Linked DNA regions of Mus musculus. The protein of the gene in region 1 interacts with the protein of each later gene in a pairwise test. Links are inferred from orthologs where the notes say so. Each region holds a gene or a part of one and is shown on either strand. Other genes may lie near its edges.

The links.
Region 2: the proteins of Sncaip (region 1) and Nub1 interact in a two-hybrid assay, tested with the Homo sapiens proteins (2 studies listed by BioGRID). The link is inferred for Mus musculus from reciprocal best matches to the Homo sapiens genes SNCAIP and NUB1.

The regions. Positions count from the first base shown.
Region 1 is NC_000084.6:52,766,881-52,770,789, forward strand, and holds the start of Sncaip (synphilin-1), read left to right. Parts: upstream 1-1,212; 5' UTR 1,213-1,257; exon of another isoform or gene 1,258-2,178; intron 2,179-3,909. UniProt on the Homo sapiens protein: Isoform 2 inhibits the ubiquitin ligase activity of SIAH1 and inhibits proteasomal degradation of target proteins. Isoform 2 inhibits autoubiquitination and proteasomal degradation of SIAH1, and thereby increases cellular levels of SIAH.
Region 2 is NC_000071.6:24,684,215-24,688,123, forward strand, and holds the start of Nub1 (NEDD8 ultimate buster 1), read left to right. Parts: upstream 1-1,600; 5' UTR 1,601-1,737; coding exon of another isoform or gene 1,738-1,808; intron 1,809-3,909. UniProt on the Homo sapiens protein: Specific down-regulator of the NEDD8 conjugation system. Recruits NEDD8, UBD, and their conjugates to the proteasome for degradation. Isoform 1 promotes the degradation of NEDD8 more efficiently than isoform 2.

The DNA.
Region 1 (3,909 bases):
TTAGTCAAAAAGCTGGGGAAGAAATTTAGTCTTAGAGTAGGGAGGAGGATTAAAACTGTCTTCTGGTGACATTCAAGGCTGTCATTTCTAGGGGTGCCATTTACTTATGGTAGGTCTTCCAGGTAGAATTCCAGATGTGTGCAGGACAAGGACTGCTCTGATTGTCTTTACTACTAAAATCAAATTATGTATCTCATAAGAACGACTTACGGCTTCACTCTAATTACTCAGGGCAACCTAGCTTTTAAACCCCCGGGCCCTTCTTTCTTACTGGCAGTGTATTTTCTGTGACAGGCAGGCATACATCCCTCTGCCAGCACCCAGGTAGTATTGGATTTCCCTGTATCTCTCACAGCCATTCCCACCCTGGCTGAAAGGGGCAGGGGTGGGGGGTGGGCAAGATGACCCTAATTTGACCAGAACTCAGTCCTTCCTTCCTTCCTTCTGACAACCTCTAGCAAGCAGGTAACAAGAATGAAGCCCATGATGGCTTTCCTTTGACACACTCCAAATCTTGTCCCACTCCTGGGACAGAGATTTGTCCAAAGTCATTTAAAGCTGTCCAAGGGGGCAACAGAGAGCCAATGTTGCTATCAAAGCGTCTGTTCTCTCTGGATTTTGTTTCGGAAATAGGAAAGAGGCGGTCACCCACCGCTTGCAGGCATCACTGATGCCCCTACCATAAGGAATGCTAGGAGTAAAGTTACTATTATCACAGGGTCCTGGGTACACTGCTGAATTAACCAACTGTCATTTCAGACCCAAATCTCTAGCGCCACCCACCCAGGAGCACAAAACATTCTGGGTAAAAATCCCCCAGCCCTGCCCCTTTACATCCTTGGCTAAGTCTTTCAGGGTGGGCTAGACTTGGAAGAGGGGAAGGTTGGGGGTTGATGACGACGCGGTGCCAAGGCACAGCACTCTGGCCAAAACACTTCTCAGACACAACAGTTTTCCCAGGGCCGTGTTCCACCTTCCTTTTTCTCCGAGTATCGTTTCCCGGTTTTATGCTGGAACCTTGGAATGGTTTGGGGACCAATGAGGTGGCAGCGGTTGATTCATGGATCGCGGTGAGGGAAGATTTCATTTCCAAGGAGGAAAGAGCGCGCGGGGGGCGGGCGGGGGGGGGGTGCTGGAGAGGCAGCAAAGCCAGAGGGGAGGCGGGGGAGAAAGTGGGAAGAAGGGGCCAAAAGTGGGAGGGGAGGAGGGGAGAGAGCCTGCGGGGAAGAGCCAAGGCGGCGGAGGTGAACGCGCGAGGTAAGCAGAAGCAGCAGGTTCGCTGGCCGGGGACACCAGGGGAAGGCGGCTGCTGCTGAGGGGCGTGGGCTGGGCCGGGACGCAGGGGGACGGTCACTGTCGGTCCTGCCTGGTGGTTGCGTCCCTGAGCTCAGCGTCCCGCCGCCCCGGGTGTCCCCGCCCGCGCGCGCCCGTTGGGGGGCCCGGGGTGCGGCGCCGGCCGCCCGGCCGCATTGTGACGTAGCGGGGCCGCGGCAGCGCCTCCGCCGCCCGCCGGGTCTCCTGCGCCCGCCGCTCTCGCCGTCTGTCCGTCCATCCCTCCCGCCGTCCTCCCGCGCTCCGGTGAGTCCAGGTCCCAACCGCGGGCGCCGCAGGGAGGAGAGGGACGAGGGCAGCCCGTGCAACTTTGCACCGGGCGACACCCTGAGGGTTTTCGGGACCCCGGGGGCCCCCTTTGTGCCTCGGGTCCCTTCTGCTCGGGGCCGCGCGGTGCCGCTGCAGAGAGCTACAAGAGGAGAACGTTGTGGTAACCCAGGCAGCTTCACCCCGGGGGACCCAAGTCGCTCCCGCCTCGCAATCCCTGGCTCTGGTGCAGGGGATTGTTCTTTTCATTGGCCCTTGCGCTGGCGTTACGCTTGCTGCTACCTCGGATGGTCCCGGAGGCGTGGATGGGTTGTGCCAAGGCTCCTAGGAGCTGCCAGGGAGGGGCGAAGGCATGGTGATAGCTACACTAGTAACCAGAACAATAACAAACGTGAAGGGGATGCCGGGTGGTGTCGCTACCCGAGGAGAGCCCCTGGCCCATCATCCCCGAGACGCCTAGGCTGCCCCGTCCAGCCTCGGCTCCTCCTCCCGGCGCTGTCCGGCGTCCCGGGATTGTCCATGTCTTAGGGAAGGCTTCTTTCTGACCCTCTCAGTGGCGGTGACTTTCGTCTGCAGGTGGTAAGTAGGGATGAAGCCAACGTTGGCTATTGTCAAATGCCACGTTTTGTTTATTTCATTTTTTTTTTCTCGAAAAGAAAGGGGAGAATATTCTGAACCAGTTCTGGCAGCCATACAGTTTCCACAGGAAATACTAGCATTCTTTGAGGAACACGCTACTGCTTGCAGCAAAGAAAGTCTTCAGGAGACAAAAAGGCAACTGCATTGTTGCTCATTTCCAACTAGCCGCTAGGAGGGTGGAAACAGTGTTGTTTTTTCCTGCGGGAACATTGCTTTCCTTGGGAAAGTTAATTAAGGAAGCATTGCTGGCTGTGCCCTTTTTTTCACTTGCTGGAAGTGGGATGCCACTCCTCCTGGTTATTACTGACAAGTGTCCATCTAATAGCCCCTGGGAAGAAAGAGCCACCAACCACCGCAACAGTCTCCCCACACACCACGTGCTGTGGAGCTCGGCCAGGGCACAGTTTGCAAAATGAAATAAGGACTATCTTGGGAGATTTATGGGGATTACATTCGCGCAGACGTCAGTTCTCCAAGGTGTCAACTCTAAACACATTATGGTCAGGCATCATTTCGGCGCTGAATCTGCAAGCAGGCAAAAAAAAAAAAAATTCTCATTATGAAGCAGACATCTCAGTTGGGAATAAGTTCAAATCTGTATTTCATTTGTACACATTGAAAAATTCAAAAGTCAAGAGAGCAAGATTGTAGAAAGGCCCATATGCTAATGTGTGCACACCTGGGAGGCAGTGTCTATTGGCTGATTCTGATGTGACTTGATATTAAATTACTTCCTACATAGCAAAATGCAGGGAGATACCTTTAAACTGTCCTTACAACTAATAGAAGAATGTGTGACATTTGGGGGCTGATCACAGAAGTCTCTTTCTCAGGGAACATTAACCAAGTATTGCCCATAATGGAATAACTCGAGTTTCCAGGTCTAGATCAGAAAGTAAATGATGGCACTTCTCTTAAGAGTCATAGAACATCACTAATGTTAGTAATGCTGCTAAAAGGGAGGTTTATAAAGAGGTTTTATCAGTTTGAACATAACCTTTATCATCCCTCAGAGGTTCGTGAAGAGAGTTTACAAGACAGTACATCTGAAATGGTACTGCATTCGCTAATTCGATGTTTCTATTTGTCCGTGTCTGAAAGGAAGTGACTAAGGTCCGTGGATTTCTGTGTGCCATGTCACAGCTTTGCTGAGTCCAAGCAGCTGTTCAGTGCAGGTGTGCAGTGGAAACAGGGAATAGAAGCCAAAATCGTTGGGAGCACGGTTGTTTTGGAAGGACTTGGAGGGACTTCACTGTGCCTAGGAGGAGGGAAGCCCACAAAAACATCTAAAACATACAAATGCTCTTTGATATCATCAGAGAAAGCCCGGAGCCATGTTTCTTGCCAGATTTAGCTTGTTTCTTGTGAAAAGAAGAAATCTCCCAAAGTAGCAGGTGCATCATTAGAAGAAACACAAGGGACTTTCTCTCTTAAATGCAAAATCTAATTGAAGAGCCACAAGAGGATCCTGTGACACTCTTAGAGAAAGAGCCTAGTTTTTGGCACTCTTTCAGGTTACAGATGCAAATCCCATAGGAGAAATGTGTGTCTTCGGAGACAAATAATAGGTGGCGAGAATCAAATAGTTGCTTCTGTGAAACAGGAACCTGTATATGCTTATTTACTTTTGCTCTTTGACTTATATGCAAATTCACTTGCAGAGTAAAATTT
Region 2 (3,909 bases), on another chromosome or scaffold:
CCCAACTTTCTTTATTTTTTCTTTTCTTTTATTTATTTTTTATTTTTTTAAATTTATTTATTTATTTATTTTTGTTTTTCGAGACAGGGTTTCTCTGTTCCTGGAACCCACTTTGTAGATCAGGCTGGCCTCGAACTCAGAAATCGGCCTGCCTCTGCCTCTAGAGTGCTGGGATTAAAGGCGTGCGCCACCACGCCTGGCAGTTTTTTGTTTCTTTGTTTCTTTGTTTTTTGAGACAGGGTTTCTCTATATAGTCGTGATTGTGCTGGAACTAATCAATTTCCTTAGAGTGGAAACAGTTATCTACAGATACAGTTTTCTTGGGTTTACAGTCACTTTCTTTTGTTTGGTTCTGAAAGCTTTGTCAGTTTGGAGGGCATAACAAACAACTTGCAAATCTGATCCTTATCATAATAACAATTTGTTTAGTTCCTGATTCACAGTGAGGCCAGGCATTTTTGGACTGACTAAGCAGGCCTGCTCTGGGTTCTCCAGTACGTGTGTGGGAAGCGGGTGTTGAATGATGGATCTAGCTTCACTGGCAGGCTGGCAATTGGCAAACTCCTCGCTGGGGTTCCTGGTTGCTTAGGCTCCTGCAGGCTTGCTCAGGCCTCCTCTCACAGTCTGCAGCAAGATGGGGCTCAACACCAGAGCATTGTTTCTTTTCTCATAGTATTTAAAAAAAAAAAGGCCTTTTTTTTTTTTTTTTTTTTTGGTTTTTGGTTTTTGGTCTTTTTGAGACAGGGTTTCTCTGTTTAGCCCTGGCTTTCCGGAACTCACTCTGTAGACCAGGCTGGCCTCGAGCTCAGAAATCCCCCGCCTCTGCCTTCCAAGTGCTGGAATTAAAGGCGTGCGCCACCACTGCCCGGCGTCTTCATTTTTTTATGCCCGTTTGGATTGTTCCCTTACATAGACATAAGGGCACATGCATTTTTCACAGCGCTGAGCAAAGCAGATGTCTCTATCTACTGTACTCATGGTGGGAGTAGCCGCTGGAGGGAGGCATGGGTAGCGTACCTAACTTCACCATGAGCGGGGATCCTGGTGGGATTGTGGAGGGTAGTGTGAGAATCCTTTAGTCTAGGGGATCCCCTAGGCCTAGTAGAGGGAAGACGAGAAAAGGTTCAGGAAAACAGGTCTTGCTCTGTCAAGGCTTTTGGGGAATAAATAAAGGCAGACTCATTTTCCTCTGACTCTGAAAAACTCGGTCTGGGAGTGGTCCGAAGACCTCGTGATTGAAGACTAGCATTGCCTCACTTCCATTCCTCACCACGCCTCTTCCCCCTGCACAGCAGACCCCCTCCCACCGCTTTTGACCAGTTTTAGCCTTGCCTTTCCACCTAACAGCTCCACCTACAGTCGGCCCTTGCCTCCATCTTCCTCCTCGCCCGGTCCCACATCCGCTCCACCGCAAACTACCAGCCCCGCCCACAGATCGCCTGACCCTCAGCGCGGCCCTCGCCCCAACCACTTTGTCTCTCTTCCCCCTTACACGTCAGCCCCGCCCTAGCTACACTCTCCCTATTTCCATCTACTCTGTTGTCCCGCCCCATATCAGCCCCGCCCATTAAATACTAGCCCCGCCCACAGCCGCGTTTTCAGGGCTTCCTTCCGTTCGATGCTTCAGATCGCCCTTCAAGCCCCTTGGCCCCACCCTTCCATGCAGCTCCGGTCCTCGACCGGCCTTCCGGACAGCGCGAGGGGGCGGAGCCGGGGGCGGGGCCGGCCTCACCCGGAATGAAAACAAACGGCGGCCTTTGCCGCATCCGGGCACTCGGCAGGTCGCAGCTGGCTCGGCAGTGGCGCAGGTGAGACGGCTGCGGCAGCGACCGGGCCTTGGGCCTGGGCCTGGTAGCGCGGCCGGGGCGGCCGTGGGCTCGGTGGGCAGGAGCGGCCAGGCGGACGCGGCGAGGCGGGCTGGGGCGGAAGCGGGAGGGGGTCGCGGCGGGGCGGAGGGGAAGGGATGGACACCAGCCAGCAGCTTGAGTTTGGATGAGCTGACTGCCGGGGCTGACAGCGGAACGCGGGGTGTGAGAACGCAAGCTTTCTGGACCCACACTTGTCCTCGCCTCCTTCCCTTGCTTTTAAATAGGAGGCCCTAATGGCATGTCATTTCCCCGAGAGGGAACGTGTTGAATGTGCGTAAGGTTGTATGCAATCTCGATTGATCTACAAGTGAAAGTGGTATTTTCAACATTGATGCCTAAGGTTTCACTTTCGGTTCAGAGCGCTGATCTTGATGATTTACGTGTTTTCTGCGTTGGAACGCCCAGCAACACACATGAAACAGTTCTCCAATTAAAATTGAAAACTGGGCTGTTAGATTTTCTTCCTTTTGACCTAACACATGTCATTCTGGTACCTGTAACTGGATTTTCATAGGTTTGAATACAGTGGTTTAATTTAATTAATTAATTTTTTTGAGATGGTGACTCACTATGTAGCTCTGGTTGTCCTGGAATTCGCTAAAGGCGAGCAAAACTATAATCAAGCCGGTGGTTTAATTTTGTTCAACATTAAATCTTTATGTTAATCTGGGCATGGCATACCTTTAGCCCCAGCATTTAGGAGGCAGAGATGATCAGGTGATCTCTGTGAGTTCAAGTCCAGCCTGGTCTACATAGTAAGTTCCAGGACAGAGCTGAGTAGTGAGACTCTGTCATGGTTTTAAAAAAAACAAAACAAAAACAAAAAAACTTAGTCGGGCGTGGTGGCGCACGCCTTTAATCCCAGCACTTGGAAGGCAGAGGCGGGGGATTTCCGAGTTCGAGGCCAGCCTGGTCTACAAAGTGAGTTCCAGGACAGCCAGGGCTATACAGAGAAACCCTGTCTCAAAAAACCTAAATAAATAAATAAATAAATATTACGTGATGCAGACCTAGCAACAGTGTGGAGCACAGATGAAGGGTTGTGATAGCCTTGGCTTCTTTTATCAGACAGTGGACTGGGTACAGTCTGAAAGGCTGTTTTCAACCTTCTGAATAGCTGGGTACTAGTAAATTATCCCTGCCACCTCCTTAGGAGATGGCAGTAATCTTTTTCTCAGTTTCTAAACTGGGCGTGCTGGCACACGCCTTTAATCCCAGCACTCCGGAGGCAGAGGCAGATGGATTTCCGAGTTCAAGGCCAGCCTGGTCTACAGAATGAGTTCCAGGACAGCCAGGGCTACACAGAGAAACCCTGTCTCGAAAAATTAAAAAAAAAATTTTTTTTCTATAGATTTGAGTCCTGTGTCTGGAGGTTTAATAGACTTGTATTTGTAAGGCTCCTAAGTGCCTTGTGGTGAGCTTGTGAGTAAAAACACACAGCATGTTCATTCTCTCTCTCTCTCCCTCCCTCTGTCTCTCTCTTTCCCTCTCGCCCTGTCTGACATGCATACACACAATGTTTACTCCATGGGCTATCCTGATGACCTGTTTCTCGATCTCAGATCTGAGCACCCTTTTGAAAGCATGGTTATGGAATAATGCTTAAGTCACCACAGTTGGCTTGAAGATCAGGTGGATTCTGTTTAGAAGGCTGAAACTTAAGTTATTAATTCACATATTTTCCATTCTCTGGAATTCATGTTCACCAATGAGGAGTGAGCAGCTTCCTATTTGGTTTGATTTGGCAAGCCTTGAAACACTTGACTACCAGCTGCCCCAGGCTCTCAGTGGCCTCCCCCACCCTGTGGAAGCTATGTCACACCTCCTGTGTAAGAAAGGGGAAGTGCTGAGGACAAGAAGCACAGGATTGTGAGACAAGCTAGAGTCCATGTCGTAGGCAGTTGTCTCATGCCAGTTCTGGCCTGGGCTCATTTTGTGGTTTTATAAACCTGGGCCTGGGGTTTTCCAGCAGCAAAGTGATTTAGCCTCAACATCAATCTAGTGAGATGTGCTATTGTGCTCTCAGAAGTACCAGCGAAAA